Callithrix jacchus: one gene and its partners. The protein of the gene in region 1 interacts with the protein of each later gene in a pairwise test. Links are inferred from orthologs where the notes say so. Each region holds a gene or a part of one and is shown on either strand. Other genes may lie near its edges. The genes, in order: BNIPL, MIF and GFER.

Region 1 (9,784 bases):
TCTCGGCTCACCGCAACCTCCGCCTCCTGGGTTCAGGCAATTCTCCTGCCTCAGCCTCCTGAGTAGCTGGGATTACAGGCACGCGCCACCATGCCCAGCTAATTTTTTGTATTTTTAGTAGAGATGGGGTTTCACCATGTTGACCAGGATGGTCTCGATCTGTTGACCTCGTGATCCACCCGCCTCGGCCTCCCAAAGAGCTGGGATTACAGGGGTGAGCCACCGCGCCCCACTTTATGGCTTCTTTCTATTGACGCCTTTTGGGAATGAGGAGCAACAGGCTTCCGTCTCCTCATCCTCAGCCCCCTCAACTCGTCTGTTCTCCCAGAAACCCTATAACATATTCCATCTCCCCAGTTTTGCTTGTGCTTGAAAAGTAGGCCCGAGATAACAGTCTTAGGAACACAGTGATTTCTCCTGGCTTTTTGCTTGTTTGTTTGTGTAAAGAGCAACTTCGAGAAGGGTATAAGGAGTCTGAAAAAGAGAACAAATTGCTTTCCTAGACTCACCAAGACTGCTCCCCCTAGAAAATGCACTCTCAGGCCGGGCACGGTGGCTCATGCCTGTAATCCCAGCACTTTTGGAGGCTGAGGCAGGTGGATCACGAGGTCAAGAGATCGAGACCATCCTGCTCAACATGGTGAAACCCCGTCTCTACTAAAAATACAAAAAATTAGCTGGGCATGGTGGCACGCGCCTGTAATCCCAGCTACTCAGGAGGCTGAGGCAGGAGAATTGCCCGAACCTAGGAGGCGGAGGTTGCGGTGAGCCGAGATCGTGCCATTGCACTCCAGCCTGGGTAACAAGAGCGAAACTCTGTCTCAAAAAAAAAAAAAAAACAAAAAGAAAATGCACTCTCCTCCCCAAAGCCCGCCCCCTCACAGGAGGGAGCGTTTTTCTTTTGGGCAAACCTGCTCCTTGGGAGAGGAGGTGGCAAAACCTGTTTGAAGATGAGGTTACCTCCCTTCCACACCTCCCTCCTTGGAGGCCGGAACTACCTCAGCTGACACAAAAAAGGTAAAGAAGTCTTGGGGGCTGGGATACCCAGCTCCCCAACAACTTTCAGGTGTTTAAAGAAGAAGACAGGAAGACCTGTGAAGATGGGAACCATACAAGAGGCAGGAAAAAAGACCTTAGATGTTGGGTAAGTAAGATCTTGGCTCACTTGATTAGAAACAGAATAAACAGTCCTCAGAGACTCTCACCACCCAGCTCTTACTGGGTCAAATCTCAGGTTCCTCAAGGAGACAAGACTCTTAGAGAATTTGCAGAGAAGGGATGAGGGTGGTTTTAGGTAGGAAATGTCAGGATGGTGTGGAAATAGGGAACAGGGGAATCCAGGATAAATCCCTGGTTTAAAAATAAAGGAAGTGGCCGGGAGTGGTGGCTCAAGCCTGTAATCCCAGCACTTTGGGAGGCCGAGGCGGGTGGATCACGAGGTCAACAGATCGAGACCATCCTGGTCAACATGGTGAAACCCCATCTCTACTAAAAATAAAAAAATTAGCTGGGCATGGTGGCGCACGCCTGTAGTCCCAGCTGCTCAGGAGGCTGAGGCAGGAGAATTGCCTGAACCCAGAAGGCAGAGGTTGCAGTGAGCGGAGATCGCGCCATTGCGCTCCAGCCTGCGTAACAACAGCGAAACTCCGTCTCAAAAAAAATAAAAAACAAAAATAAAATAAAGGAAGTTTCTGTAACATGTTGTATCTGATAAATCTGCCTGTGTTCTTTATTCTCTAACCCTCACCCTCCAGAATGACCATCAGGAAAGCTGAACCAGAACTGACTTTAGGTCCAGGGTCTCGTTCCCGGCACATCTTTCTTCTTACCTTTTTTCCCCACACCTCCACCTAGGCTGTGTTTTCCCTTAGCCACACCCCAGCACGGTGGAGGAAAGGCAGGCCTGACTAGCTGCCGTCTTGCCCAACTTTGCTCAGTGATAGTTGGGTGGGTGTAGCTGGGTTCCAGCCAATTGTAATGTGGGACATCTCTCACCCCCACTTCATAGGTGGAGCAAGTTCTGTAGAGGTAAATATGACTAACTTTATATTCCATCCGCCCTCTGCTCCCAAACCCATCAGTAGGCAATCTAGTAAGTGGTGACAGTGAAAGAAATACCTTTGTAGGAGGCAAGAGATCTGAGTGCCTTTGAAGGCCTACTCTCTGCTCTCTGTCTCAATTACTGTTCTTCATCATTCCAATTCTTCTTACCTACTTTCAGTTCCCTTACTCTTTTCTTCTTGGGGGTCTGTCTTAGGGTCAGGGAGAGTGGAGAAGCAGCAGAACTAGGAGCAGCCCTGAGACGTGGGGAATTGGAGCTGAAGGAGGAATGGCAGGATGAAGAATTCCCTAGGTGAGATCGTGTGAGGGCGGCTGGGAGAAGGAAGGGATGGGCAGCTCACGCCTGTAATCCCAGCAGTTTGGGAGGCCGAGGCGGGTGGATCACCTGAGGTCAGGAGTTTGAGACAAGGCTGACCAACATGATGAAATCCCATCTCTACTAAAAATACAAAATTAGCCAGGCGTGGTGGCGCATGCCTGTTGTCCCAGCTTCTTTGGAGGCTGAGGCAGGAGGATTGCTTGAACTCGGGAGGCAGAGGTTGCAGTGAGCTGAGATTGCACCATTGTACTCCAACCTGTGCAACAAGAGTGAAACTCTGTCTCAAAAACAACAAAACCAGCCCAGGCGTGGTGGCTCACGCCTGTAATCCCAGCACTTTGGGAGGCTGAGGCAGGTGGATCACGAAGTCAAGAGATCGAGACCATCCTGGTCAACATGGTGAAACCCCGCCTCTACTAAAAATACAAAAAATTAGCTGGGCATGGTGGCGCATGCCTGTAATCCCAGCTACTCAGGAGGCCGAGGCAGGAGAATTGCCTGAACCCAGGAGGCGGAGGTTGCAGTGAGCCGAGATTGCGCCATTGCACTCCAGCCTGGGTAACTAGAGCGAAACTCCGTCTCAAAAAAAAAAAACAACAACAAAACCAAACGCACAAAAAAACAAACAAATGGATGCAAGGATGGTGAATTAGGACTTGAAGTAAAAAAATTCTAAAAAGGAAAACAGGCCAGGCATAGTGGCTCATGCCTATAATCCCAGCATTTTGGGAGGCCAAGGCAGGTGGATCACTTGAGCTCAGAAGTTCAAGACTACTCTGGGCAACATGGCAAAAACCCATCTCTACCAAAATACAAAATTTAGCCAGGCATGGTAGTGCACGCCTGTAGTCCCAGCTACTTGGGAGGCTGAGGTGGGAGGATCACTAGAGCCCTGGAGGTAGAGGCTGCAGTGAGCCATGATTGTGCCACTGCATTCTAGCCTGGGCAAAGAGTGAGACCCTATCTCAAAAACAATAAAAAAAGAAAGCAGATGTGGTAAAATCATGGCCAGGAGAGAGAAACTATATACTGAGTCCCAGCTTGATGCCTTTGGTGTATATCTCTGCCCCCTTTTAATCTCTTTCCCTCTAGATTGCTTCCTGAGGAGGTTGGACCTTCTGAAGATCCTGAAGAGCCTAAAGGAGACTCACAGGCAGGTAGGTCAAATAGAAACCAGGCCTCAAGTTCTTTTTTCTTTTTTCTTTCTTTTTTTATTTTTGAGACAGTCTCGCTCTATCGCCAGGCTGGAGTGCAATGGCACAATCCCAGCTCACTGCAACTTCCGTTTTCCGGTTTCAAGTAATTCTCCTGCCTCAGCCTCCGGAGTAGCTGGGACTACAGGCACGGACCACCATGCCTGGCTAATTTTTTTTGTATTTTTTTAGTAGAGACGGGGTTTCATCATGTTGGTCAGAGTGGTCTCAATCTCTTGACCTCATGATCCACCCGCCTCGGACTCCTAAAGTGCTGGGATTACAGGCATGAGCCACCGCACCCGGCCTCAAGTACTTGATTCTAGTCCAGTGAAGGCCTGTGCCACCTCTGTCCCCTTACAGTTCCGTTTCTCCCTTTCCCAAATGTCCCCTGTGTCCATCTTCAGAGTTCACCCCCTATTATCACTGTCACATACAAAGAATTCTAGCCCTCTTGGCCCCCAACACACACGTCCATCTGGGTCCTCTTTTTCCTCCTTTCTCCAACCGCAGGTACCCCCCTCACTTTAGCCCTGTGTGGCCAGCGCCCCATGCGGAAGCGTCTTTCTGCCCCAGAGTTGCGACTGAGTCTGACTAAGGGGCCTGGAAATGATGGAGTTTCGCCCACCCAATCTGCACCTTCCTCTCCTGATGGGAGTTCTGACCTGGAAGTAGACGAATTAGAGACACCTTCAGACTCGGAGCAGCTGGACAGTGGACATGAATTTGAATGGGAAGGTGGGAAGCAAACCAGAGGACCCAGAGCTGGTAGAAGTAGAGGCTAGCACTAAAGGATCAGGATGGACTTAATGGGACTGCAGTTAGAACTAATCAAGTGGGGAGAGCACCGGGCGCGGTGGCTCACGCCTGTAATCCCAGCACTTTGGGAGGCAGAGGCAGGCGGATCAGGAGGTCAACAGATCAAGACCATCCTGGCCAACATGGTGAAACCCCGTCTCTACTAAAAATACAAAAATTAGCTGGGCATGGTGGCACGTGCCTGTAATCCCAGCTACTTGGGAGGCTGAGGCAGGAGAATTGCTTGAACCCAGGAAGCGGAGGTTGCAGTGAGCTGAGATCGTGCCACTACACTCCAGCCTGGCACCTGGTGACGGAGTGAAACTCTGTCTCAAAAAAAAAAAAAAAAGGTGGGGACCAAGAGCTACCGTCAGCAAAATTAGTTTCCTCAAATGAAAGAGTAGGGCTTATAGGTCCAAAGTGAGAGTAGTCATAGAAGGAGAGGGGAGCCCTTGGTTTATTAAGGAAAATTTAATTGAATGCCTGCTATATACTATCATGTATAGGACTGGGGTTATAAAGATGAATAAGAGAGGCCCTACAGGGAATTATCTGCTTAGTAGGAAATAAACATATATACAAATAATTGCAGTTAAAGGTTATGATCTATATATGTATAGGGTACAGTGTAGGCAGGGAGAAGGAAAAGGTCACTTCTGCCTGAGAGATGTTAGGAAAGGCTTTGTGAAGGAGGTGATTCTGAGCTGAGTGTTGAAAGCTGAAGCTGGCCAGGCATGGTGGCTCACTCCTGTAACCCCAGCACTTTGGGAGGCCAAGGCGGGTGGATCACTAGGTCAGGAGTTTGAGACCAGCCTGACCAACATGGTGAAACCCCATCTCTACTGAAAATACAAAAATTAGCCAGGCATTGTGGCACACGCCTATAATCCCAGCTACTCAGGAGGCTGTGACAGGAGAATTGCTTGAACCCAGGAGGCGGAGGTTGCAGTGAGCCGAGATCACATCACTGCACTCCAACCTGGGTGATAGAGCGAGACTCCATCTCCAAAAAAAAAAAAAAAAGAAAGCTGAGGCTGGTGGTTATCAGGTAGTTGAAGACAGGGCATTCTAAGTAGAAGAAGCAGAAGAAACAAAGCAATACTATGGCATGTTGGGGAATTCAAAGTATGAAGCATGACGATTTTAATATGAAGGGCTGGGAGGTGAAGAGAGAATGACAAAAGATAGTGCTGCTATCTTTTGCTAGGGTTAAGTAGGCGAAGGTCAAACCATGGAAGCCCTTGCTGCCATGCTGAGGAGTTTAGGTTTTATCTTTTTTTTTTTGAGATGGAGTTTCGCTCTTGTTACCCAGGCTGGAGTGCAATGGCGCGATCTCGGCTCACCACAACCTCCGCCTCCTGGGTTCAGGCAATTCTCCTGCCTCAGCCTCCTGAGTAGCTGGGATTACAGGCACTCACCACCATGCCCAGCTAATTTTTTATAGTTTTAGTAGAGATGGGGTTTCACCATGTTGACCATGATGGTCTCGATCTCTTGACCTTATGATCCACCCGCCTCAGCCTCCCAAAGTGCTGGGATTACAGGCTTGAGCCACCGCGCCCGGCCAATTTTATTATTTTTGTCGCCCAGGCTGTTCTCAAACTCCTGGCTTCAAGCAATCCTTCTGTCTTGGCTTCCCAAAGTGCTGGGATTACAGGCATGAGCCACTGAGCACAGCCTTGAGTTCCCTTTTAGATCTGGTGACTTGTTAATGACAAGGAGACACACAGTGAAGACATACACTCTGGGCATTTAGGGATGCTCGAGTTAGGGCAGCAGCTGGGGTTAGAGGCTGGGCACAGTGGCTCCTGCCTGTAATCCCAGCACTTTGGGAAGCCAAGGCAGGTGGATTGCTTTGAGCTTAGGAATTCAAGAACAGAGTGGCATGGCGAAACCCTGTTTAAAAAAAAAAAAAAAAAATTAGCTGGGCATGGTGGTGTGTGCCTGTGTCCCAGCTTCACAAAAACCTGAGACTGAAGAATCACTTAAGCCCAGGAAGGGGAGGTTGCAGTGAGCTGAGATTGCACCACTGTATTCCAGCCTGGGCAAAAGAGTGAGACTGCCTCAAAGGAAAAAAAAAAGAAGCCTGGGTTAGAGAGGCAAATTTGGGAGTCATTTCCTTACTGGTGGAATTAAAGACATGGGACTAGATGAACTGATCTAGGGAAAATCATTTAAAGAAAGAATCTCAAAAGGCCAGGTGCAGCGGCTCATGCCTGTAATCCCAGCACTTTGGAAGGCCAAGGCGGGTAGATCACCTGAGGCCAGGAGTTTGAGACCAGCCTGGCCAACATGGTGAACCTCCATTTCTACTAAAAATGCACAAATTAGCTGGACGTGGTGGCAGCTGCCTGTAATCTCAGCTACTCGGGAGGCTGAGGCAGGAGAAATGCTTGAACCCGGGAGATGGAGGTTGCAGTGAGCCAAGATCTCACCATTGCACTCCAGCCTGGGCAACAAAGGGAGACTGTCTACATACATACATACATACATACATACATACATACATACATACAATAACCAGACTATTAGAAATAAAAGGCATAACTTTAAAAAAATAAAAAAAGACTCAAAAAATACCTGATACTGCTAAGGGTCATAGTGCAGGGTCATCCAAAGTCCATCATCGGCCGGGCGCAGTGGCTCACGCCTGTAATCCCAGAACTTTGGGAGGCCAAGGCAGGTAGATCACGAGGTCAAGAGATCGAAACCATCCTGGTCAACAAACTCCGTCTCTACTAAAAATACAAAAATTAGCTGGGCGTGGTGGCACGCGCCTGTAGTCCCAGCTACTCGGGAGGCTGAGGCAGGAGAATTGCCTGAACCCAGGAGGCGGAGGTTGCAGTGAGCCGAGATCGCACCATTGCACACCAGCCTGGGTAACAACAGTGAAACTCTGTCTCAGAAAAAAACAGCAACAAAAAGAAACAAAGTCCATCATCTAGTGAAAAGGTGAGGATAGTGAGTCACAGGAGAAAGAAACCAGCAAGATATTGGGCTGATTGGGCAAAACAGGGCTAAAGAGTCAAGGAAAAGGCCGAGTATGGTGGCTCACGCCTGTAATCCCAGCACTTTGGGAGGCTGAGGTGGACAGATGGCTTGAGCTCAGGAATTTGACACCAGCCTGGGCAACATGGTACAACTCTGTCTCTACCAAAACATTAGCGGAGCGTGGTAGCGTGTGCCTATGGTTCCAGCTACTCAGGAGGCTGAGGTGGGAGGATCACTTGAGCCTGGGAGGCAGAAGTTGCAGTGAGCCATGATTGTGCCACTGCACTCCAACCTGGGTGACAGAGTGAGACTCCATCTCAAAAACAAAAAAAAATGAATCAAGGAAATAATCAAGGAGTGACAGATTAGAGTAACAAACTAGGAATCTGAGGAAGTTACAAGAAACTGAAGGCAGGAAATCTACCTTGCTGATCCTTCCCCAACCCTCTCTTTTAGATGAGTTACCCCGGGCAGACGGTCTGGGCGCCAGTGAGGCAGCTGAAAGGCTGGGCCAAGGCTGTATGTGGGATGTGGCTGGAGAAGATGGACATCACTGGAGGGTTTTCCGAATGGGACCACGGGAGCAGCGTGTGGACATGACTGTCATTGAACCCTATAAGAAAGTCCTGTCTCATGGAGGTAATGGCTAGCATAAACAGAGGGGTAAGAGCTATGGCTTTTTTTTTGAGACAGAGTTTCACTCTTGTTTCTCAGGCTGGAGTGCAATAGCGGGATCTCGGCTCACCGCAACCTCCATCTCCTGGGTTCAAGCAATTCTCCTGCCTCAGCCTCCTGAGTAGCTGGGACTACAGGCATGCGCCACCATGCCCAGCTAATTTTTTGTATTTTTAGTAGAGATGGGGTTTCACCATATTGAGCAGGATGGTCTTGATGTCTTGACCTCATGATCCACCCATCTTGGCCTCCCAAAGTGCTGGGATTATAGGCGTGAGCCACCAGGCCCGGCCGAGCTATGGCTTCTTAAATAAAATGCCTAAGCTGGAGACTCAGTCATTGATCCAAAATCTATCCTGTAGCTTCCAGAGACCCTCAGAGTCCCTCAACTTAAACAGATGTACTATCTGTCAATACATATTTGTTGACTAAATGAATTTTCGCCTTACACTCTCCAGGTTACCACGGTGATGGCCTCAATGCTGTCATCCTTTTTGCTTCCTGTTATCTACCCAGAAGCAGTGTCCCCAACTACACCTACATCATGGAACACCTGTTTAGGTGAGGAGGGAGGCCTGAAGAGCTACAGGGCCGTGTTAGCGGGGCGGGGGGCACCGAAGTGAAAAAGAACTCCTTCAAAGATCAGTAGCTAGTTGGAGAGTCTATAGTAACGTTCCCTGTCGCTCCTGCAACTCTCAGCACATATTTTCCCTGCAATTTCATCCGCCCAGGTATATGGTGGGAACGCTGGAGCTGCTAGTAGCTGAAAATTACCTGCTTGTTCATTTGAGTGGAGGCACAAGCAGGGCCCAAGTTCCACCTCTGAGCTGGATACGCCAGTGTTACCGCACCCTGGATCGGCGGTGAGACCTGGGACGAGAAGGCTACAACTCTCGCTCTCTCATTGTTTTTCCCACCTTTCCATTCTTTCTTCTTCCATTTAGTCCCTTCCTGTTTTCTTTATCCTACGTTCTTTTCCCAGCTTTTTTGTTTTCTGTCCTCTCTTGGAGTCAGAGATTTAGTTTCAAATCCTGCCATTATCCACATTACCATTTACTAGCTGTCTGGCTTTGGACAAGTCACTTAACATCTCTGGGCTTCAGCTTTTTTGTTTTGTGTGTGCATGCGTGTGTGTGCGTGTGTGTGTGCGCGCGTGTGTATGTGTGTTTTGAGACAGGGTCTGGCTTTGGACAAGTCACTTAACCTCTCTGGGCTTCAGCTTCTTTTTTGTTTTGTGTGTGTGTGCATGCGTGTGTGTGTGCACGCGCGTGTGTGTGCGCGCGTGCATGTGTGTGTGTGTGTGTGTGTTTTGAGACAGGGTCTGGCTCTGTCATCCAGACTGGAGTACAGCAGCACAATCTCGGCTCATTGCCACCTCTGCCTCCCAGGCTCAAGTGATCCTCCCACCTCAAGCCTCCCAAGTAGCTGGGACTACAGGCATCGGCTACCATGCCCGGCTAACTTTTGTATTTTTTGTAGAGATGGAGTTTTGCCACTTTTCCCAGGCTTGTCTCAAACTCCTGATCTCAAGCAATCTGCCCACCTCCCGAAGTGCTGGGATTACAGGCATGAGCCACTGCCCCTGGCCGCTTCAGCTTCTTCATCTGTAAAATGGCAATGATTATACGTTTGCCACTGGGTATTTGTGAAAATCGAGTAAATTAGTGTGGCATATTGCCTGGCACACAGAAAGCACTCTTCCTCTTCTCTCTCAGTCTTGCCATTTATTTCCTGTTCCACACCTCCA
Region 2 (8,994 bases), on another chromosome or scaffold:
GGGATTTAAATAGGGTCCAGTTTGATCTTTCCCCTTACATGGTAGCCAGCTGCCCAGCACCCCTAATTGAATAGTTCTTATTTTCACGTGGATTTCAGTGCTCCCCCAGTCTGATATTGTGTCCATGTGTGTGGAGAGGTCTGTTTCTGGATTACTGTCTTTTCCACTGGTCTGTTTGCCATGTTCTGATTCCACTTTGCCTTAATTGTATAGCTTGACAATGTGTCTTGACATTAAGAAAGCAAGTCCTCACACCTTGCCTTCTTCAAGAAAAAGGTTTTGACTCTTCTTGGTCATTTAGAGCCTCACATAAATGTTAGAATTTGATTGTCAATTCCCATAGAAAAATCCGTTGGAATTTCAACCGGGACTGTGCTGAATTATCAACCAGATAGGAGAACTGTTACCAGCACAATATTATCTCCAATCCAGAGACATGGTCAGTTTGGTGCTCTCTTCATTTATTTAGGTCTCCAATGACCTTAAAGGTGTTACTTTTGTCTGTAGACGTTCTCTTTAGAGTACATCTTGGATTCATTTCTAGGTACAAGAAACTTTAAAAAAAAATTTTTGTATAGACTAGGGTTTCACTATGTTGCTCAGGCTGGTCTTGAACTCCTGGCCTTGGCCACCCAAAGTGCTGGGATTACAGACATGAGCCACTGCACCCAGCCAGGAAATTTATCTTCTATTGCTCACCCGCAATCCCCACCACATCTCCTGTGTCTGCATGAGATCATATATTCTGTATGGTATCTGTAAAGTCATGTCTTATTCTGAGAAATGTCCATTTCTGCATCAATACTTTTCACACGTATTCTAAATATATTTTGTCTTGTCTGTCTGGTATATAGGCTATTGTAGTTACTTGACCTGTGCCAAAATGTTAAATGTGTAAGTTCTTGTCCTTCATGTCTTCTTCTGGCTTTTTATTCACTAATAGTCATCACGATGATCCTTACTGTCAACATAAGAGACGTGCCCTCTCAATACTCTGATATGGCGGTACAGGGATTCTTTTTTGGTACTGTGTTTTCTGTTTTGGCTGGCAGTTCACTAAGGACTCATCCTATCATGCTATGAGGGACTCTTCTTGGAAACAGTCCTTTCCAGACTCTTTTCAGCACGTAGCTCTCACTCATGCTTTTCTGTAAGATGGGGTGCTCTTACAGATGGTTGGGATTTACAGGCTTAAAGTTATTCACCTATTTTTATAAGACATTATTGCCTTCTTTCTTTTTGAGAAAACAAATTTAGAGAGCCAGGGGTAATCTGTTCCACAGCCCCCTGTCTGGGCCAGTGTCTGGCACGGTCTAGAGGGATGGGACAGTTGGGCAGCACCCAGGGGTTTGGTCTAGGTCCCAGTGCTTGCTGCAAAGCCAATCACTGCAGGAAAGAGGCTTTTTTGGGTGCTGCAGCCAAGGAGAATGTGTGATGTCTTGAAACCATCTCCCTGACCGACTGCAATGGGAAGGTTATGTAGCAGTGGAAGGGAGATAGCTATGCTTGGGAAGGAATTCGGGGAGGGTAAGAAAGCAACCATGATGAAATTGTCACCAAGTCTGAAGGCAGTGATCTGGTGAATTTGAGAGAAGATTATCCTGTGGAGGGAGGCCACAGGACAGAGCCTTCTCTCTGGAGCCTTTCGGCATGCTTCAAATTTGAGCCATGTAAATCTGTTACCTATTAAACTGAGAAGAGAGCTAGGTACACAAGAAGCCAAGTCACTGAGGGACATGGAGGATGAGGCGTCTCATTTGTAACCTTTCAGTTTGGTGCCCTATCTGGCTGTTTTGGGGGCTAAACTGTGAGTCCAGACCCCATGGTCACCAGATGAGGGCTGAGGTTCCGGGCTGAAGGGACAGAGTCAGTTTCTGGAACTGACAATCTATGTCTCTTTTACATGGGCTTCAATCACAGAAATGAAATGGCTTGGCCTCACTCGCCAGGAGGGGAAATCTAGGCAGTTGGTTGGTGGGTTGACATTGTCCCCCACATTAGTCTTGGAAATCATGCAGGGAGGCCCGGGCCCAGAGGACTAAGACTTGGCTTTGCCACTGCTCAGCCTGGAAAGGGACTGAGACGGCAGAAGAGGGCTTTACGGAAACACAGTGTCAGTGGCCCAGAAATCCTGGAAATCTCCCAAGCTCCAGTGATCAGCTGATCTCTCCCAGGTAACTGGAAAACCACTCTGATATGAAGGTTGGCCCTGTGTTAATTTAATCTACTGCATTAGAGGCAATAGGGTTGTCCCATTGCCTGCCCTGCTAGCTCCTGTTAGTGGTTAGAGCCAGCCCTTCAGTGTGGGGCTCGGGGGGAGTGGTTCACTGGGAACGCATTTCAGTTGCATCCCACCAGGGGCCAAATACGGCTTGATGGCTGCACACACCAGCCTCACTGGCCTCCTAGCACTTCCCGGCTCCATCTGGAGACTTCTAAGTAGATACTTGACCACACTTCCTCATTGTCTCTTTCCCTACCGCCATATCCACTGCCATCAAGGCTGGCCATGGGATGGGGGTCAATGGGGGCAGGTGTGGGATGCAGCAGCTGCCCTCTCCAGCAGGCAGGCCGGTTGTAAGCCCCAGGGGACTTGGAAACGCTTTGGGCAGGGTGAGTGGATACGTAGGCCCCTGACCCACATAGATATCCCCTTTGTCCTTGAAGTCCAAGGAGCCACGACCTCGTGGATGCCCCTAGGGGGCCACAGAACCTCAGACACTCACCAGTTTTTGGAGGGCAGATCTCCCACCAACTCTCCTGCCCTCACACAGCAGGTGCCCAGCCTGCCCTGCCCAACTCTTTGGCCCTCAGAGACTCCAACTTGCTCATATGAGGCCACAGGGCCCTTGTAGGGGTCATGACATTGAGTGTACGACCATGCCCTGGACCCTGGGGTCAGTGTCCTCATCTGTGAAATGAAGGAGTTGGACCAGATGCTCATGGGGCCCCATGCCCCTGCTCTCCCTATGGGCAGCACAGCTGAAGACTGTTGAGGTGGGGTAGGGGTTGGGGGACCAGCTAAGGCTTGGTGGGGTGTGGGGCCCGAAGGGGAGGAAAAAGGTTGTTGTGGGGGGAACCTGTGGGTCTTGGGCAAAACTCAGCCTCAGGCCTTTGGAGGCTGGCGCTGGGGGGACCCAGGAGCTCAGGGGATGTGACAAAGACCAGGGCCGAAGAATGTGCCTCTTACACCACAGTTCTTCCATCCCAGAAGGAAACCTCAAGCCTGAAGCATGGGCTCCACCACCCACCAGGTGGGGGGTCTCTTCTTTACACCATTTGACTGCCCCGGGACCTGCAGGGTCAGCCTTGTAAATGTGTTTCTAAGTTACACTTAAAACCTCAAGGTGTGGGACAGACAGGTGTGGGGCCTATAATTCGGCCTTGCTCTCCATCACTCTGGTGGCACTGTGTCATCTGCTGATAAAGACTCCTGCCTTACGGGTGACCCTCACTGCCCTCAGGGCCACTGTTTCCAACGGATGGACAGCCTAGCCGACCTTGAACCTCATTTTGTAGGTTTCAGGAGTGCCTCAGGGTTCCTTGGTGTTCGGGAGGAATTGGTGCAGGGCTGGGACACCAGGGAGCCAGGCTGGAATGGTGTTGGGGGTGGGGGTCAGGGCTGGGTTCATAGCCCTTTTGTCCAGCCTGTCCCTCCTACCTCCCAACAGGGAAGCCCCAGTGTGTTTCCACATTCTGGGGTATGAAGAGATGAGGAGAAATTGGCACCCTGCCCTGGGCTGCAGACTCAGTACCTAAGGCACTTTGCTGCCTGAGGTAGATTCACGACTCTGGGCGGGAACCCACAGTTGAATCCCTTCTACCTAGGGGTCAGCACATGGGGTGCCAGAGGGGAGGCTGGAAAAGGGGGAGGAGGAGTTGGAGTTGGGAAGGAGTCTGAGGTCCTAGGCCTAGACCTTTCTTTCAGCCCCACCTTCCTCAGCCTTCTTGGTGGGCAAAAGGTAGCCAGAGGACAGAAAGATTCTCCCACCCAGAGCCACTCACTGCAAACAGCTGTTTTAGGGAATGTAAGGAGAGTCTGCAGGCAGGTGGGTGGGGAGGTGCAGTTATTTGTTATAAGGTTCTGTCCATCCCAAACCCTGAGCCTAGGTTCTGTTCCCCTCAGCCACCCAAGCCTCACCACAACAGTTCCCTGAGGAAATCAGGCGTGGGGTTTCCACTGGGACCATTCGTGTTTGCCAGACACATCTGTAAAGCCTTCCGTTACGTTTGGGCGCCGCTGCACACGCCTGTAATCCTGGCACTTTGGGAGGCGGAGGTGAGTGGAGTCTGACTACCCTGCTTCTCTCAAGACCTGAGTGGAGGCACAGGCCACCTGCTCTCTCCTCCCCTCCCACGGCATTCCTTGGATTAATCGTGCCTCTGAGGAAGTGAGATGTCCCTGTCATGCCTCCATGAGTGAATATGTAGCCACCGTAACAGCAGAAACTTTCTCTAACCGTTTATTTCTCCCCACCAGAAGGTGGAGGCGGGCGGGCCTAGAATACAGGGTGAGGTGGGTTCCCGGGTTGGGCCAGTGCAGACAGCGCGGGGAGAGGCGGGGCGCGGCTCTTAGGCGAAGGTCGAGTTGTTCCAGCCCACGTTTGAGGCGTTCATGTCGTAATAGTTGATGTAGACCCTGCAGGGGGAGGAGGCGAGACTCAGCGGGCGGCTCAGTCCCCGGCCCGGCACCACCGCCGCCACCCCCACCACCACTGGCCCCTCGCGCCGCGGCCCCTCCGCGCCCCAGCATACCTGTCCGGGCTGATGCGCAGGCGCTCGGCCAGCAGGCCACACAGCAACTTGCTGTAGGAGCGGTTCTGCGCGCCGCCAATCTTGCCTATGCTGTGCAGGCTGCAGAGCGCGCACGGATCGCTGGAACCGCCAAAGGCCATGAGCTGGTCCGGGACCACGTGCACTGCGATGTACTGCGGAGGAGGGGCGCGGTCAGCGAGCCTCAGCTACCTCGCCAGGCCTCTGGCGTCCACTTTGGGCCCTAGCCACCTCTTCCTCCCGCCCTGTCCCGCAGCCCCCTTCGGGATTCGCCTCCCCAGCCCCCAGTGCAGGACCCCCTCGTGCAGTGGGCACCCCCTCTTCCCGTACCCTCCCAACTAACCTGGGGCGGCTTGCCGGTGGCCTGCGCCAGCTGTTGGGTGAGCTCGGAGAGGAACCCGTCCGGCACAGAAGCCCGGGGCACGTTGGTGTTTACGATGAACATCGGCATGATGGCAGAGAGACCAGGAGATTCGCGCAGGGACACAGACGCAAGCACCGCTGCCGCGCTGAGCTACGTGCCTGAATTCTCGGATACGGTTCCGCCTTTTGGGACGTCACCGCCGGCGCCAGGCCTCCTCCCAGCGAAGCTGCGGCTCCGCCCCGAGTGGAGACGTCACCGCCTACCTCGGCTCCGCCCCGAGTGGAGACGTCACCGCCTGCCTCAGCTCCGCCCTGCGGGACCTAACCGTGAGCGACTCCGACGGCTCTTCCAGCGACTACCGCTAGGCCGGGCTCATCGTCCCTAGCGGATCTCCACGTGGCGGCTCGAAATCGGCTTCTCCCAGCCTGGCCTCTGGTCTTTCTTAGTACTTTTGTTGTATCCGACTGAGCACAAAAAGTCAACACCAAGACAAAAGTATGCCAAATTGCAGGGTTTATTGCCGGCGACCACGGAGGACTCACGTCTCTCCAACCCTTGGCAGAGAAAGAAGGGTGACAAGATCTTTTTATACCCGCAAAACCACCTTGGGAGTGGGGGTGAGGAGTGGAGATGGGAATGACAGCTGTCAATCACCTCCTAGGCTTAGACTAGGGTGAGGGGGCTCTGGACATTCCAAGGGCCAGGGGACTTTTGTCATTCCGATTGCCGCTTAAGAGGTTTACAGAAGTTAAGATAAACATTAGTTTATACATTATTTGGACAGGTGTGGGGTCCACAGATTTTTCAGTTGCTTGGCGCCAGGATGGAATTATCTGGGGGTGCTTACTCTGGTTAGTACCGGTAAACAGAGGCCAGCAATTCTGGCAGTTACAGATAAGAGAAAGTATGCAACTTTACCTCTCTTTACATTTTGCAAAGTAAACTTAGCAGTTTACAGAGGCCATGGCTAGCAGTCATTGTGAGGAGAATGGAAACAGTTTTGTCCTTTATAAACTGGCAGTGTACAAGTTCTAACTCTAGGCTAGCTATATCACACTTTCAATAAGTCACCGATGTTAGTCGCCAGGAGGCGCTGTGCCAGGGGTGGGGATGCGGCGGTGAACCCGGAAGATGGCCCCTTCCCCTTCCCCTTCCAGAGATGAAGCCCAGTTCATTCCACTGCACGCCCTGAGCCCTGTACGTCCTGAATCTTCCGGCCACACGTCCCCAAGGGCTCCAGTCCCGCACGCCTGAGCTTGTGTGTTTGAGATGGGGAGGGGTAGTCATTGCTGCAGGTGAGAGGAGAGCTGCCCCTGCGAGTCACCATTCAGGGAACTTAACCTGAACTCCTGCTCTTCAAAGAGGGTGAGGATGCTGGGAGTCACCAAAGGGAGGGAAGTGAGGTCCAGACCAGGTTCAGTGTGGGTAACGATAACAAATAACTGAATCCAACATTAAAATTACACAGTGAAAAAGTGACCAAATTTTGGTAATAATGTTGAATAATGATGCAGCTATAGATCAGAAAGAGACCTGTATGTACTGATAAGCAATGACCACCAAATTATATTTTATATGGGAAAGCCAGTCGGAACAACACACAAAGCGGAATTACATTATGTAAAAATATGGGCATGTCTTTCGGTAAGTGCATGTGGATGAGTGGGCTGGGAGCTGGTGGCGACACATTTCATTCTATAGACCTAAGCAGTATTTGAATTTTTATAACAATAGCATATGTGTTTTTTATGTGATTTACTAGAAACAAATTTCTTGAGTTGTAAGAGGTTTATTTTAAACCTATGTAAAGGTACATGAAGATCATCATCATTCAGAATAATAAAATAGAACAGCAATATAAAGAGATATTAAAGTACATTATTAAATACTATAATATTCAAGATTATATTAAAATCATATCTACATCTGTATGCATATAAGAATGTTAATAAATGATATTAATGTCTAAAATTGTAATTTTTGCAGACCTCTGTGAATATATTAGAAACCATTGAATTGTACACTGTATGTGGGTGACATTTATGATATTTGAATTATATTCTGTTAAACAATGTTAAGTTCTGTTAAACAATGAATGGCAGCAGGCGCGGTGGCTCACACCTGTAATCCCAGCATTTGGGAGGCCAAGGCAGGTGGATCACGAGGTCAGGAATTTGAGATCAGTATGGAAAAACCCTGTCTCTACTAAAAATACAAAATTAGCCAGGCGTGGTGGTGCTCACCTGTAATCCCAGCTACTCAGGAGGCTGAGGCAGGAGAATCACGTGAACCTGGGAGGCAGAGGTTGCAGTGAGCTGAGATTGCACCACTGCACTCCAGCCTGGGTGACAGAGCAAGACTCTGAAGGCTTGATATTCTAGTGCTAAGTAAGGGATGGTTCTATTTAAAATATGAAGTGTTTCCAGTAGATTCCCTTAAAAAGATTATAACAGGAATTTCCAGATCGCCCCCACTCCTACCTTTTTATGACTTATATGACTCAAGGCCCATCTAAATTTCAGATGGGGGAAATATTCACAAATCATTTATCTTGTAAGAGACTAAAATTTAGAATATATTTTAAAACTCCCCAAATCTACAACAAACTAAATAAAAATCAGACAACTCCTTAAAAATGGGCAAAAGACTTGAACATATATTTCCCTAAGGAAGATACACACACAGACAATCGCACAGGAAAAGCTGCTCAGCATGATTAGTCATTAGGGAAATGCAAATGAAAAGCACAAGTAGATGCCAATATACACCTGCTAGGATGATTTGAAAGGAAATGAATATGGGAGTTCCAGTTCCGCAGAGAGTGCGGGGAGATGTAGTGCACAGCGAGCTCACCCTGGGCCCTCCAGGTCCTCCGGCCCCTGGCTGGTGGGTGAGCTGGGGGGTCCCGGGACAGGCAGTATCCTCTGCCCTTCAGACACTGGAGGCCTCCACTGTGGGTGCCCACTGGCTTTGCCAGGCCCAGGCCTTGAAGCTGTGGCAAGCCTCTCTACCCCACCCGTCTTCGGTGACTGATGGTGGTGGCGGCTTCTCCCAGCCCATACCCCAGCCTGGACCCTGCTGGCCATTGGGTCTCCCAGCCCAAGTATGCTTGGCCTCTACGAAGTCCCAGCTGAGCTGCCAGGATGCAACGCCTTTGGGTGGCGGCAGGAGTGGCGAGCCAGGAAACACGGTGGCCGCTCGAATGCTGCACAGTGGAGGCTGTTAGGTAGTAGAGGGCCTGGGAAGGTGGCCTAAGGATGCAGGCAGGCTTGGCCGCCTCTTTAGGCCACAGAGCCATGCAGATCCGGGTCCCCAGTGACCACTCTGTCTTCACTGGGCGAGACCTACCTAGTCGTGACAACAGACAAAGGCCTTAACAGGCCTGGGAGGTAAGCGAAGTTCTGAACGTCGACAGGTGGAATGGTTAGCAGCCATGGGTGGGGGGGCGGTGAGTCTTCATTCTACCAGACCTTTCTGTCCGAAGAGAGAAACAGCAGAATGACAGGCCACGTTTGGCCCGTTGCAAATGCCCACCACCCTCTGGGAAGATTCACTGGCCATTTATGGAAGGCTTGTGTATATAAGATGAAAAAGTTGCTCTCAACTGCATGCCAACATTTTAATAGAAAACATTTGTCACATCTAGCCCTTCTAGATGTAAAGAGGTTGCCGACGTATGATAAAGTAGAGTTAGAAAACCACACATCTTGTAGATTCTCATTTGTTTAAAAGAAATCATAGAAAATACATGTCTTCTGGAGATGGCTTTTGGAAATTCAGAGTTGTTAGATGGCTCTGGAAGTGATACATCTACGTTTGCTGAGTTGATTAGATGACATGAGCTGAAAGAGCTGAGA
Region 3 (10,540 bases), on another chromosome or scaffold:
ATGAAGCCCTCCTAGCCCAAACCTCTCCTCCCTCAACTCACAGCTGGACCTGAGGGCCAAGGGACAGGCTCCCTGCCAAGGAGCCCGGAGGGTGTGCGTGCAGGGTAAAGGGGAGGCGCTGCCCCATCTCTCTCGGTTCCCGTAGCCCCCTCCTTCTGCCCCTCGGTGAATCCCGTCCCCACCCAGAGCCTGCTTCCAGGTCACGAGAACAGGAAAAACGGAGTAAGGGCTGCGGAAAGGGACTGGAATTAGACCCGGGGAGGAGGCAGGGGTAGGGGCCACCGGCGGTGACCTCTCAAGGTCCCTCTCCGTCGCCGCCGGCCCCTCCCCCGCCCGCAGGTGGGCGCGCCCTGCCCGGTGACGTCACCCCAACCTGAGGCCGGCTGGGAGGGGCCGGCAAGGATGAGAGAGAGGTTGGGGGCGAGAAGCAGGGGTCAGGGGGCGGCTAGGGGCATGAGGGTCGCGAGGCAGGGGCGGGGGCCCGCGCAGGGGCCACTCACCCAGGACGCGACCCGGAGCAGTGTCTGGGGCCGCCGCGCAAAGCTCACGGGGTCCAGGGCGGCCCCCGCACGGCCCGCACCGAAGGAGGCGCCCTCCATGGCCGGCCCGGGCGGGATGCGCGCCCCCGGCGCCCTCTGTCCGCCTGTCCGTCCGTCCAGCCCCGCCCGAGGCCACTGCCGCGGATGCTGATGCTACCGACGCTGCAGCCGTCGCCGCCTCCCGGGAGCGCGCGCCGGCAGTTGCGGGGGCGCGCGGGACGGGGCGGGGCCGAGCCCGTGCCCCTCACTGGGTCCACGCGCGCGGGGCCAGGGCCGTCCTCTCTCTCCGCCGCGCCCACCTCCCATCCCCCACCGGCACCTGCCTGCCGGGATCTTGAGATTGAGACCATCCTCAGGAACCCGCCAACCAGATCCCCGGAGTAAGGGGGCAAGGGCGCTGGGTGCAGACTTTGCCATAGCCGGGAGGACAGACAGGAAAAGGAACCCGCTCCTCTGCGAAGGGCCCTTGGGTGAGAAAATGAAGGAGTAGGAGGTCCACGGGCTCCAGCATCTTCTCCCAACCGTCGGGAGAGGGGACTGGCTCCCTGGCCCTGGTCCCAGGAAGACCAGATGGGCAACTGGGATCTTTCCCATGGCCCCCCACAGTGCTCTAGCTGGTCCTTCAGCAGGTTCTAGCCTTGGGCTGGGAGAGTCTGGTGGCAAGAAAGGCCTCCACCCCAGGAGCACCTGTTGAGGGATGAGGAGGACCACCGTGGCCATCGCCAATGAGAGTGTTGGTTTTTATGTGTCTGCTCCTTGCCCGTGGCCAGGTGCTGGCGCTCCCAATGCCCTCCCTACTTCTGGGTCTCCCTAGGGCACTTGCAGCACCTAGTCTGGAATCGAGGGCAGGGAGAGGCATCAGAGACCAGCAGTTGGATGGGGTCAGTGCCTGGCTGTCCTGTGCCCTGCTGGGTCCCCTCCAGACCCCAGCCCTGGGTGCAACAGGGTCCCTCCCCTCATGTTCCTGCTGGGCTGGAAGTTCAGATGACTCTTAGGTTTCTGTCTAGAGCATTGAGATGTCTGCACTGACTGAGCATTTACACCACCAGGTGCGTCACCTGTGGAGGCAGAGTCTGTTACCACCCTGTTCTTCAGACAGGTAAACAGCCCACCTGCCTGCTACGACAACCTGGTGTACATGGTGCCGCCTTGCCCAGCCCCCCTGGAGCCCATTGGTTCTGGTGTGGAGCTCTTTCTTCAGTCAGGCTGGGCACAGTCGGGCAGAGCAGCTGTTGCCAGAGGCGCCACTCACTGGATTTCAAATCCATCTACTGTGCGTCTGATCCCGACTGTCTCACCCACTGGCCCCAGGCCTCCCCTCTGTCATTCATTTTCCTTTTTACATCAGCACGCAGACATGCTACACTTTCTCCTAAAAAGCCACACTATTGACCCCACCTCCCTCCCCTCCAGCTGCCCGCAGTTATGAGCAGCAAGCTTGAGTCTTCTATTCTCTGCCTGCACCACCCCTCCTCTCTCCCTCTGAGACCCGGCAGAATCAGCTCCCACCACCACCTAAACTCAAGGCTGCCACTGACCTCTCCGTGCCAATCCCAAGGGCAAGTCTGATGCTGCTGTCAGCTCAGTTTTTCTTTTGAGACAGAGTTGCACTGTCACCCAGGCTGGAGTGCAGTGGCTCAATCTTGGCTCAAGACTGCACAACCTTTGCCTCAGAGGCTCAAGTGATGCTTCTGCCTCAGCCTCTGGAGTGGCTGGGATTACAGGCATGCCACCGTGCCTGGCTAATTTTAAAAAATATTTTTAATTTTGGTTTTGCCAGGCTGTGCTCTAACTCCTGACCTTAAGTGACCTGCCCACCTTGGCTTTCCAAAGTGCTGGGATTACAGATGTGAGCCATTGCACCCCACCTGGAGATCCTCCTCCCTCCTGGTGCTCCTCCTACCTCATGGGCCTCTCCTCTGTAACCTGTGAGCCTTAGGAGCCCAGGGCTTGACCCTGGTGGTGGTTGGGGGGGGGTCTCTCCTCCCTCTGTGCTGACTCTTCTGGTCTGTGTGTCAACAGCTCTGGAACACTAGCTTGAGCTAGAACCTTTCCTTGAATTTCAGTTCCACTGGCCTGGATGCCCTCAACAGCCTCTGAGTCAAAGTGAAGAGTTTTATTTGGGAGTGAAACTTCAAGAAAGACAGGGGAAAAGTAAGGCAGCTAGGAAGGACAGCAGATACAGGCAGTGCGTTCCTGAGCTGACCACAGCCTCACCAGAGGACCCGGCTTGTTCCTGAGGCACTCATAGGCCTCGAAAAAGGCCAGAGAGAAGCACTGAGTCTGGGTGAGGAAAGGGCACTTTCTCTCCTGGCAGAGCCCCATCTCCTTTCTCTCATTTGTGCCACTTGGCCCCCGGGGCAGTCTCTACAGAAGCCAGCAACCCCGCAGGACCAATCTGGTGGGTGATATGGCAGCTCCCTCCACACAGGCCTCAGGATAGAGGTCCCTAGAGCTTTAAGCCACAAGAGACACTGTTGCTGGGCTGCTCTGGCTGGGGAGGCCCAAAAGCTGGTCCCCGTCACCCCCTACTCACTGCACTCATAGCCTTTTCTGTCTCCAGCACACACAGCTGTGCCCAGCAGTCTCTGAGGACTCCATCCTCACCTGAGCATTCTCAGACTCTCCCCTCGGTGGACCCCACGTCAGCCCCAACATGAGGTAAGTCTGCTCTCTGGGGTCACTCAGTGATTGCTCCAGCTTCCTCGCCAGCCTCCCTGCTCCACCCTTGCCTGCCTCATCCCAGCTCAGCAGCCAGAGGACCCTTCAAAGCCACATCACTTCCTGCCATACCCTGGCTCCAAACCCGCCAAGAACCTACTGTCACAAGAGCTGGGGGTAAAAGCCATGGCCTTTCTGGGGCCTGGGAGGCCTCATGCTGTCTGGCCTCCCTGTACTCCTCGAACCCCCGTATCATTGATTCTGGCCCCCACTTCCCCAACCAACCAGCGTCCTTGCTGTTCCCGGCCCTCTCTCACCTTGGGGTTCCTCCCTTTCCTCCTGAGGAACCAGGACCCCAGCAGGAAATGCAGCTGAACACAGAAGGACAGAGCAGGCCCCGTGCACTGCTACAGGCCCTAGCACAAAGCACACAAAGCCAAGGTCCTCAGTCACTTCAATGTTTTATTTGGACCTCAAACTTTGAAGAAGGGGACAGCACAAATCCCCTGTGGACAGGCATGGCACAACGCTGGCAGGCATGAGCCAGGCAGGGAGTGGGCAGGATGGTGGACCCTCAGACAAACCCCACCTGAGCTTTCCTGTAGGGACTGAGCACAGTGGAGAGTTCAGCCCATGAAGTGAGCAGCACAGAGCCATGGGGGGCAGGGGCCTGCGGGCATCCCTGGCTGCACAGTGGGTAGGCAATGGCCTGGGCTCCAGGGACAGGCATGGGGTCGCCCAGCCAGGCCCAGTCTTCCTGTGTGAGAAGTGAGGCACCAGGGCATGGGGAGAGCAGGAAGCCACATCCTGAATGGCAAGGAGCAGCCCAGGCTCCTCCGGCCTCGCTCACCTGCAGTTCAGCTGCTGCTCCTTGGGGGCTCTACTGAAGAGGCGGCCAGCAGGTGCCTGCTGTGGGTGCCTCTCTGTTCCAAACCTGAGAGGGGCAGGGCCCCCCGGGCAGTGTCCTGGGACCACTCAACTGAGACATAACAGGCTCTGAGCCTGATGCACTTTAATGAGTGCCCTGCCCCTATGCAGCCAGGCTACTGCAAGGGCACTGGCTGGCTGTCCCATGGGCTCTGGCTGACCAGCCTCTAGTCACAGGAGCCATCCTTCCAGCCGTCACGCCAGCGCTCATCCACTTTTGAGCAGTCAAAGTCAGGCTTGCCCAGCTTGCGGTTCACCTCATTGTGCAGGTGGCACAGCCACTGCGTGAAGCATGCCCGGGTGCGGGTGTCTGGCTGGTTCCTGCACAGCCTGCGTAGGGAGAGCATGTGAAGAATGGGAGGACGCAGCGGCTCCACTACCCCTGCCAGCTCTGTCTGCTCCCAAGGACGGAGAGCTGGGCCACTGCTCTGGGCTTCACCTCGGAGTGCCCTCATGCTCCAAGGGATGGGAATTCCCACAACAGGCCTGACCCTTCAGCTCCTTGGGTGTGGCAAATTCCCAGGGCTGCTGAAACACCGACAGGGCCTCAAAGAAAAATATTACAGCACAGACCTAGCAATTTTACAAGCTCCTAACACCCAGGAGGCGGCATCTAGTGTCCCTGGCCCCAGGCAGAGTGTGAACTGGGTGGGGCTGGACACAGCCTTGTAACTGAAAACTGGACTTGATTCTTAGGACCTGAGGCTCTGATGCCTCAGTCAGCAAGAGACCTCATTCTGACTGCCCAGGCTGAAAGCTACAATGGCAGCTCTGCCCCACACATCTGGCCTAGAAACACCTGCAAGGGCCAGTTCTGGCTCTTGGATGCCTCAGTGAGGAAGAGGTGGCTCTTGGGAGCAAAAGTAGTGGGTTTCCAAGATTTTAAAACAGCAGTCTAGAAGTCAGGCAAAGTGGAGTCCTCCCTAACCTGCGGGGAGCTGCCTTTGGTGCCAAACAAGGCAGGGAGGCCCTTCCTGGGAGACCTGTGGCCGTGGGAGAGCAGTTCCCAGCAGCAAATCCTGGCAGCTTGGCCTCAGACAAGAGGAGGAGGCTCAGATAGCCTCTGTCCTCACCTGTTGGTGGTCCCTGCTCCCCAGCAAGCTTCTGCCACCTCTGCAGGTTTCTCTAGGTTCCCCGGTATAGCGTCAGTCAGGAGCCCCAGGCCCAGGCTCCAGGGTAAAGCTCTGATGCCTGCCAACGCATCTTACCTTTTCCTTAGGTCTTCAGCACACTCCTCACAGGGATAAAACTTGGAAAATAAATGTATGAACTGGGCCATGTCTTGCTGCTGTTCTGGGGTGGGCAGGTCGGGGTAGTAGGCGGCCAGGGTGTGGAGGACAGCCCAGCTGTGGCGGCCCAGTTCCTCGCGATCCGGCGGGCAGTCCTCCCTAAATTTGCTGTCCTGCTGCGGAAGGCCGACCGAGAGTGAGTTCATTCTCCGAACAGAAGCGCCCAAAGCTCCCCCCTTGCACGGCCCAGCCGGTGGCCCAGTGGACTCCGGCCAGCGTCCTGCAGACGATCCAGCCCAAACGCAGATGATGCCTGTAGGGCCGGACCTAACTGGGGGACAAGGTTCAGGGAAAGGCAACCCTGGGGAGCTCTGCCGGGGCACCTGGGCGGGGGCTGCGCGGGGTTGGGGGAGGTCGGGCAGGGATCTGCACCTTCTGCTGCGTCCGCATCCACGTCTTGAAGTCCACGCAGGCCCGGCAAGGCCGCCTCCGGGAGACGTCCTCGGTGACCTGAGACTCGGAGGTCGGCGCCTGGGCTGGCGTCGGGGCTGACCTCTCAGCCGCGTCTCTCCGCCCCGCTCCCCGGCCCCGTGCGTCGGTAGCCAGGTCGTCTATCACTTCGGAGCGCGCGCCACCGGGCAAGAAGAAGTAGTTCCCGCTATAGAAGCGGCCCCGCTCGCCGGGCGCCGCCATGTTGCCCGCGCAAGGTCTGCCGGGCTAGCTCGGCCTCCAGATGAGCCTCCAGGTCGGCCTCCAGGCCAGCGTGCGAAAATACCAGCGGGAGGCGCGCGCCGTGCTCGAGGGGGCCGGGCCCGAGCGAGGGCTGGGGGCGGAGTCGGAGGCGGGGGCCGGGCCCGAGCGAGGGCTGGGGGCGGGGTCGGAGGCGGGGGCCGGGCCCGAGCGAGGGCTGGGGGCGGGGTCGGAGGCGGGGGCCGGGCCCGAGCGAGGGCTGGGGGCGGGGTCGGAGGCGGGGGCCGGGCCTGAGCGAGGGCTGGGGGCGGGGTCGGAGGCGGGGGCCGGGCCCGAGCGAGGGCTGGGGGCGGAGTCGGAGGCGGGGGCCGGGCCTGAGCGAGGGCTGGGGCGGAGTCGGAGGCGGGGGCCGGGCCCGAGCGAGGGCTGGGGGCGGGGGCCGGGCCCGAGCGAGGGCTGGGGGCGGAGTCGGAGGCGGGGGCCGGGCCTGAGCGAGGGCTGGGGGCGGGGTCGGAGGCGGGGGCCGGGCCTGAGCGAGGGCTGGGGGCGGAGTCGGAGGCGGGGGCCGGGCCCGAACGAGGGCTGGGGGCGGGGTCGGAGGCGGGGGCCGGGCCTGAGCGAGGGCTGGGGGCGGGGGCCGGCCAGCGGACCCGGGTGGAGGCGGAGCCACAGACCGCGGCGCCGACCTGGGAGGGGACGGAGCTGGAGCATCCGGGCGCTCCGCGACCCGCGGCGGGTTTGCGCAGTCCGTGGCGGCGCTCTCGCCTCCTCGGGTAGAACAGCAGAGTGTGGCGGAAGGTGCGCCGCGGCCATGCTGTGGACCTGGGCTGAGGCCCAGACGAAGTACGTGTCGCGACCCGCGACGCCCCCATCGCTCCGTTCTGAGCGTCCTGCGTGTCCGCGGCCACGCTGTGCCCTCCGCTGAGGGGCGCGTCCACCCGCCGGGTGCTGGGAACCCTGGCAATGCGGGGCCGGCGTGACCGCACAGAGTGCTGGGCTCGCGGCCTCGCCCCGGCGCCATGGCAACGGGCGCCTGGCAACGCGGGACGGGGCGCGGCTGCCGAGGGTTTGAGAGCCTCTGGCTCTCGGCGCGCCCCCAGCTGCCGCCGGTCCCACGGCCCGAATGAGGGGTCGGGCTCCCAGTTGGAGCCACCTCTGGGATTCCTCTGCCTCCTTGCTTTCATTCGTCCTTTACGCTATTATTTGTGCAGTGGCCTCTCTGCTCCAGGCGCTGTTCCAGGCGCTGGGCAGTGCAGGGAACAGAGCTCTGCTGCCTGATCTCCTCTGTTCATAATTCAGTGGTCAAGATGGGGGGGCGGGGGGGGAAAACGAGTCACGCTCGTGAATGTTCCCGTACAAACTGGTGGGGCCGTGCAAGGGTGGGGTAAATCTGGAAGGCCTCCTTGAGGTGGTGACCCTTGGGCAGAGGCCTGAAGGATGAGGAATCAGCTGAGGAGCGCCTTTAAGACCAAGCTCATTAGCTGGGCCTGGTGGCGCACGCCTGTCGTCCCAGCTACTCGGGAGGCTGAGGCAGGAGAATTGCTTGAACCCAGAAGGCGGAGTTTGCGGTGAGCCGAGGTCACGCCATTGCACTTCAGCCTGGGTAACGAGCGAAACTCCGTCTCAAAAAAAAAAAAAAAAAGACCAAGCTCAAGGTGGCAGGGTCTTGGCGTTTTGCAGGAACAAAAAAGGCCAGTGGGCCCATCAAGGACCTGGTCAGCAGCTGCGGGGATTGGGAATTTATTCCAAGGGAGGGGAAGATGCCAGTCAGTTTTGGGCAAGGCCACCCAATCCGATCCCATTTCAGTTTGCTGAAAATTCCTCTGGCTATTATACAAGGAGTGCATTTCTTTAGATTTCTTTCTTTCTTACAGAGAGTGGATTTTTCTCTTTTCTTTTCCTTCCTTCCCTTCTTTCTTTCCTTCCCCCTTCCTTCCTTCTTTCTCTTTTCTTTCTTCTGGTAGGGTCCTGCTCTGTTCCCCAGGCTGGAGTGCAATGGCACAATCATGGTTCACTACAGTCTCGACTGCTTAGGCTCGTGATCTTCCCACCTCAACTCCCCAAATAGCTGGGACTACTGGCACGTGCCACCACACCCAGCTAATTTTTGTATATATTTTTTGGTACAGATGGAGGTCTCACCATGTTGCCCAGACTGGTCTCCTGAGCTCAAGCAGTTCCCCCGCCTTGGATTCCTAAAGTGCTTGGATTACAGGTGAGAGGCACCAAACCCGACCTTGGGGTGGATTTTGTGGGAACAAGTGAGGAGGATATGGATGGAGGGTGGGGTGGTTGTACCATTCCGGTAAGAAAAGAGGGTAGGAGAGGAAAAAGCGGGAAGGGGCCGGGCGCGGTGGCTCAAGCCTGTAATCCCAGCACTTTGGGAGGCCGAGGCGGGTGGATCACAAGGTCAAGAGATCGAGACCATCCTGGTCAACATGGTGAAACCCCGTCTCCACTAAAAATACAAAAAATTAGCTGGGCATGGTGGCGCGTGCCTGTAATCCCAGCTACTCAGGAGGCTGAGGCAGGAGAATTGCCTGAACCCAGGAGGCGGAGGTTGCAGTGAGCCGAGATCGCGCCATTGCACTCCAGCCTGGGTAACAAGAGCGAAACTCCGTCTCAAAAAAAAAAAAAAAAAAAGCGGGAAGGATCCAGGGCCGATGCGGTGTGGGGCAGGCTGTGTCAGCTGGGGTGTGGAGGGGCCTCAGAATTCCTCTAGGCCACTGCTTGTGAATAAATTCTCCCTAGCTTCTCTACTGTCTTCCAGGAGAGCAAAGTCTGCCCTGGGTTGATTCACCGCCAGGTCCTTGGGGCCCTCAGCTGAGATAGGGAGGAGATGAGAGCTGGCTGGGGGAGCCCTGCAAATCAGCCCTATGTGAGCAGGTGTTCTTAGTCCGTGCCAAGACCAGGGACAACTGGAGGGCCTCAGAGAGTGCTGGTGACACACACACAAAGGCCCTTTGTTGCAGCCAAGGCAGATTGCTGCAGGGATGCCCCAGAGGCCGACCGCTCCCTGAAGGGGCTGGAGTGGGGGCATCCCAACACAGAACTGGTGACTCCAGCACCAGGAAGAACCACTGTGTACCGAGGTTGAATGTGGCTTCTGAAGCTATAAGGAAGCAGCCAGAGAGGTGTGGCACCTGGGCAAGCCTCTGACTAGGCGGTGTTTGCAGGAGGTCTGTTTGAGAGGTGGCTCTCAAAACAGTCCTGGTGACCACTTCCCTGACCACCCCTCACCCCTCAAGTGCCAGGGACTATACACATGGGCCGTCTTTCTCTTACCCCAAGTCTCCTCACTGCAGGGGAACCCCTGGGGTGAGCCTGTGAGGTCTGCCCCTCCCCCAACATATACAGAAAAACTCACAATAATTATACATTTAGCTCACATTTCCTCCTCTGTGAGCTGGGGACATGAAGAGGCCTTTCCTCCAGCATTAGGATTAAGCCAGACAGAGCACTTAAAGCCTTGAGCACTGAGTCCTCGGTTCTGCACAGAAATCCCCGGGCCAGTTCTAAGACAGTTGTTGGGCACACGCTGGCAGAAGGTCATACCAGGCCAAGTACCTTGCAAGGTGGGGGAATCCAGAGAGGTGGGCAGGACTGGTGGCATTTTGATGGGCCCCGCCTTCTCCTCCCTCCTCCCTTGGCCAGAGTCAGGCAGGAGGGCCCCAGGCAGCAGTTCCTCCCACCCTCTGCCCCTTAGTCTTGCACGCCTCTAGGGCCAGGACGCTCATTCTTCCTCCTAGCAGCTCTGCCTGGAAGTTCCCCAATCCCTGTGCTACCGTTCCCAGATCTTGGGCTTGGGAGACAGCAAGAAAGCTGGAAAGAACTCAGCTGGGGCAGCCCCACAAGGACCCTACAGGCTTCTGTCCCAGGCAGCCAGGTTCCTAGGTGCCCCAGAGCCCTCTGGAGCACAGGGAGGCAGAGGAATCCTTACCCAGTATTTCAGGACTCTGCAGCCTGAAGCCCGCAGCCATGGCAGGCCCCCGATACCCGGATTCAGTGCGAGGGGCGGCTCTGGTGCAGATCAAGAGGCTCCAAGTAAGACTTGGCTGCGTCTTTAGTGGCCCTAAGGCATAGGAAGGGGGTGCCTCCGTCAGCATCTCCAAGGCACCCATGACTTTACGTCCCCTAGACATTTGCCTTCTCCGTGCGATGGTCAGACGGCAGCGACACCTTTGTGTGCAGGAGCTGGGAGGAATTCAGGCGGCTCAAGGTGAGTGACCCTGGGCCACCCTAACGCCATGCTTGAGGCTTCCCCACCTGGGTGCCTACCAGTGCAAGACCTGTCAGTGACTAACTGGAGGCCCTTCATCCTGCCTGAGGCTCCCAGCCCTTGCCATCAGGGTGAGGGACCCCACCCTCCTAAGGGTGCACAGTGGGCTCTGGGAGACTGATGCCCCGGTTCTTGCCCTCAGAAGAACCTCAAGGAGACCTTTCCGGTGGAGGCAGGCCTGCTTCGGAAATCCGACCGCATTCTCCCAAAGCTTC

The links.
Region 2: the proteins of BNIPL (region 1) and MIF interact in a two-hybrid assay, tested with the Homo sapiens proteins (2 studies listed by BioGRID and IntAct). The link is inferred for Callithrix jacchus from reciprocal best matches to the Homo sapiens genes BNIPL and MIF.
Region 3: the proteins of BNIPL (region 1) and GFER interact in a two-hybrid assay, tested with the Homo sapiens proteins (2 studies listed by BioGRID and IntAct). The link is inferred for Callithrix jacchus from reciprocal best matches to the Homo sapiens genes BNIPL and GFER.

Annotation. Positions count from the first base shown.
Region 1 is NC_133519.1:10,936,875-10,946,658, forward strand, and holds the start of BNIPL (bcl-2/adenovirus E1B 19 kDa-interacting protein 2-like protein), read left to right. Parts: upstream 1-1,005; 5' UTR 1,006-1,100; coding exon 1,101-1,144; intron 1,145-2,257; coding exon 2,258-2,353; intron 2,354-3,472; coding exon 3,473-3,537; intron 3,538-4,086; coding exon 4,087-4,311; intron 4,312-7,818; coding exon 7,819-8,001; intron 8,002-8,495; coding exon 8,496-8,598; intron 8,599-8,768; coding exon 8,769-8,900; intron 8,901-9,784. UniProt on the Homo sapiens protein: May be a bridge molecule between BCL2 and ARHGAP1/CDC42 in promoting cell death.
Region 2 is NC_133502.1:192,624,366-192,633,359, forward strand, and holds MIF (macrophage migration inhibitory factor), read right to left. Parts: upstream 5,318-8,994; 5' UTR 5,225-5,317; coding exon 5,117-5,224; intron 4,929-5,116; coding exon 4,756-4,928; intron 4,640-4,755; coding exon 4,573-4,639; 3' UTR 4,451-4,572; downstream 1-4,450.
Region 3 is NC_133513.1:4,759,401-4,769,940, forward strand, and holds GFER (FAD-linked sulfhydryl oxidase ALR), read right to left. Parts: upstream 6,068-10,540; 5' UTR 6,050-6,067; coding exon 5,789-6,049; intron 5,533-5,788; coding exon 5,336-5,532; exon of another isoform or gene 4,458-5,335; coding exon 4,295-4,457; 3' UTR 3,645-4,294; downstream 1-3,644. Other genes in the region: SYNGR3 (synaptogyrin-3), read right to left, coding at 501-599; uncharacterized protein LOC144578555, read left to right, coding at 1,589-1,638, 2,606-2,649; NOXO1 (NADPH oxidase organizer 1), read left to right, coding at 8,176-8,261, 9,019-9,180, 9,999-10,090, 10,185-10,265, 10,468-10,540.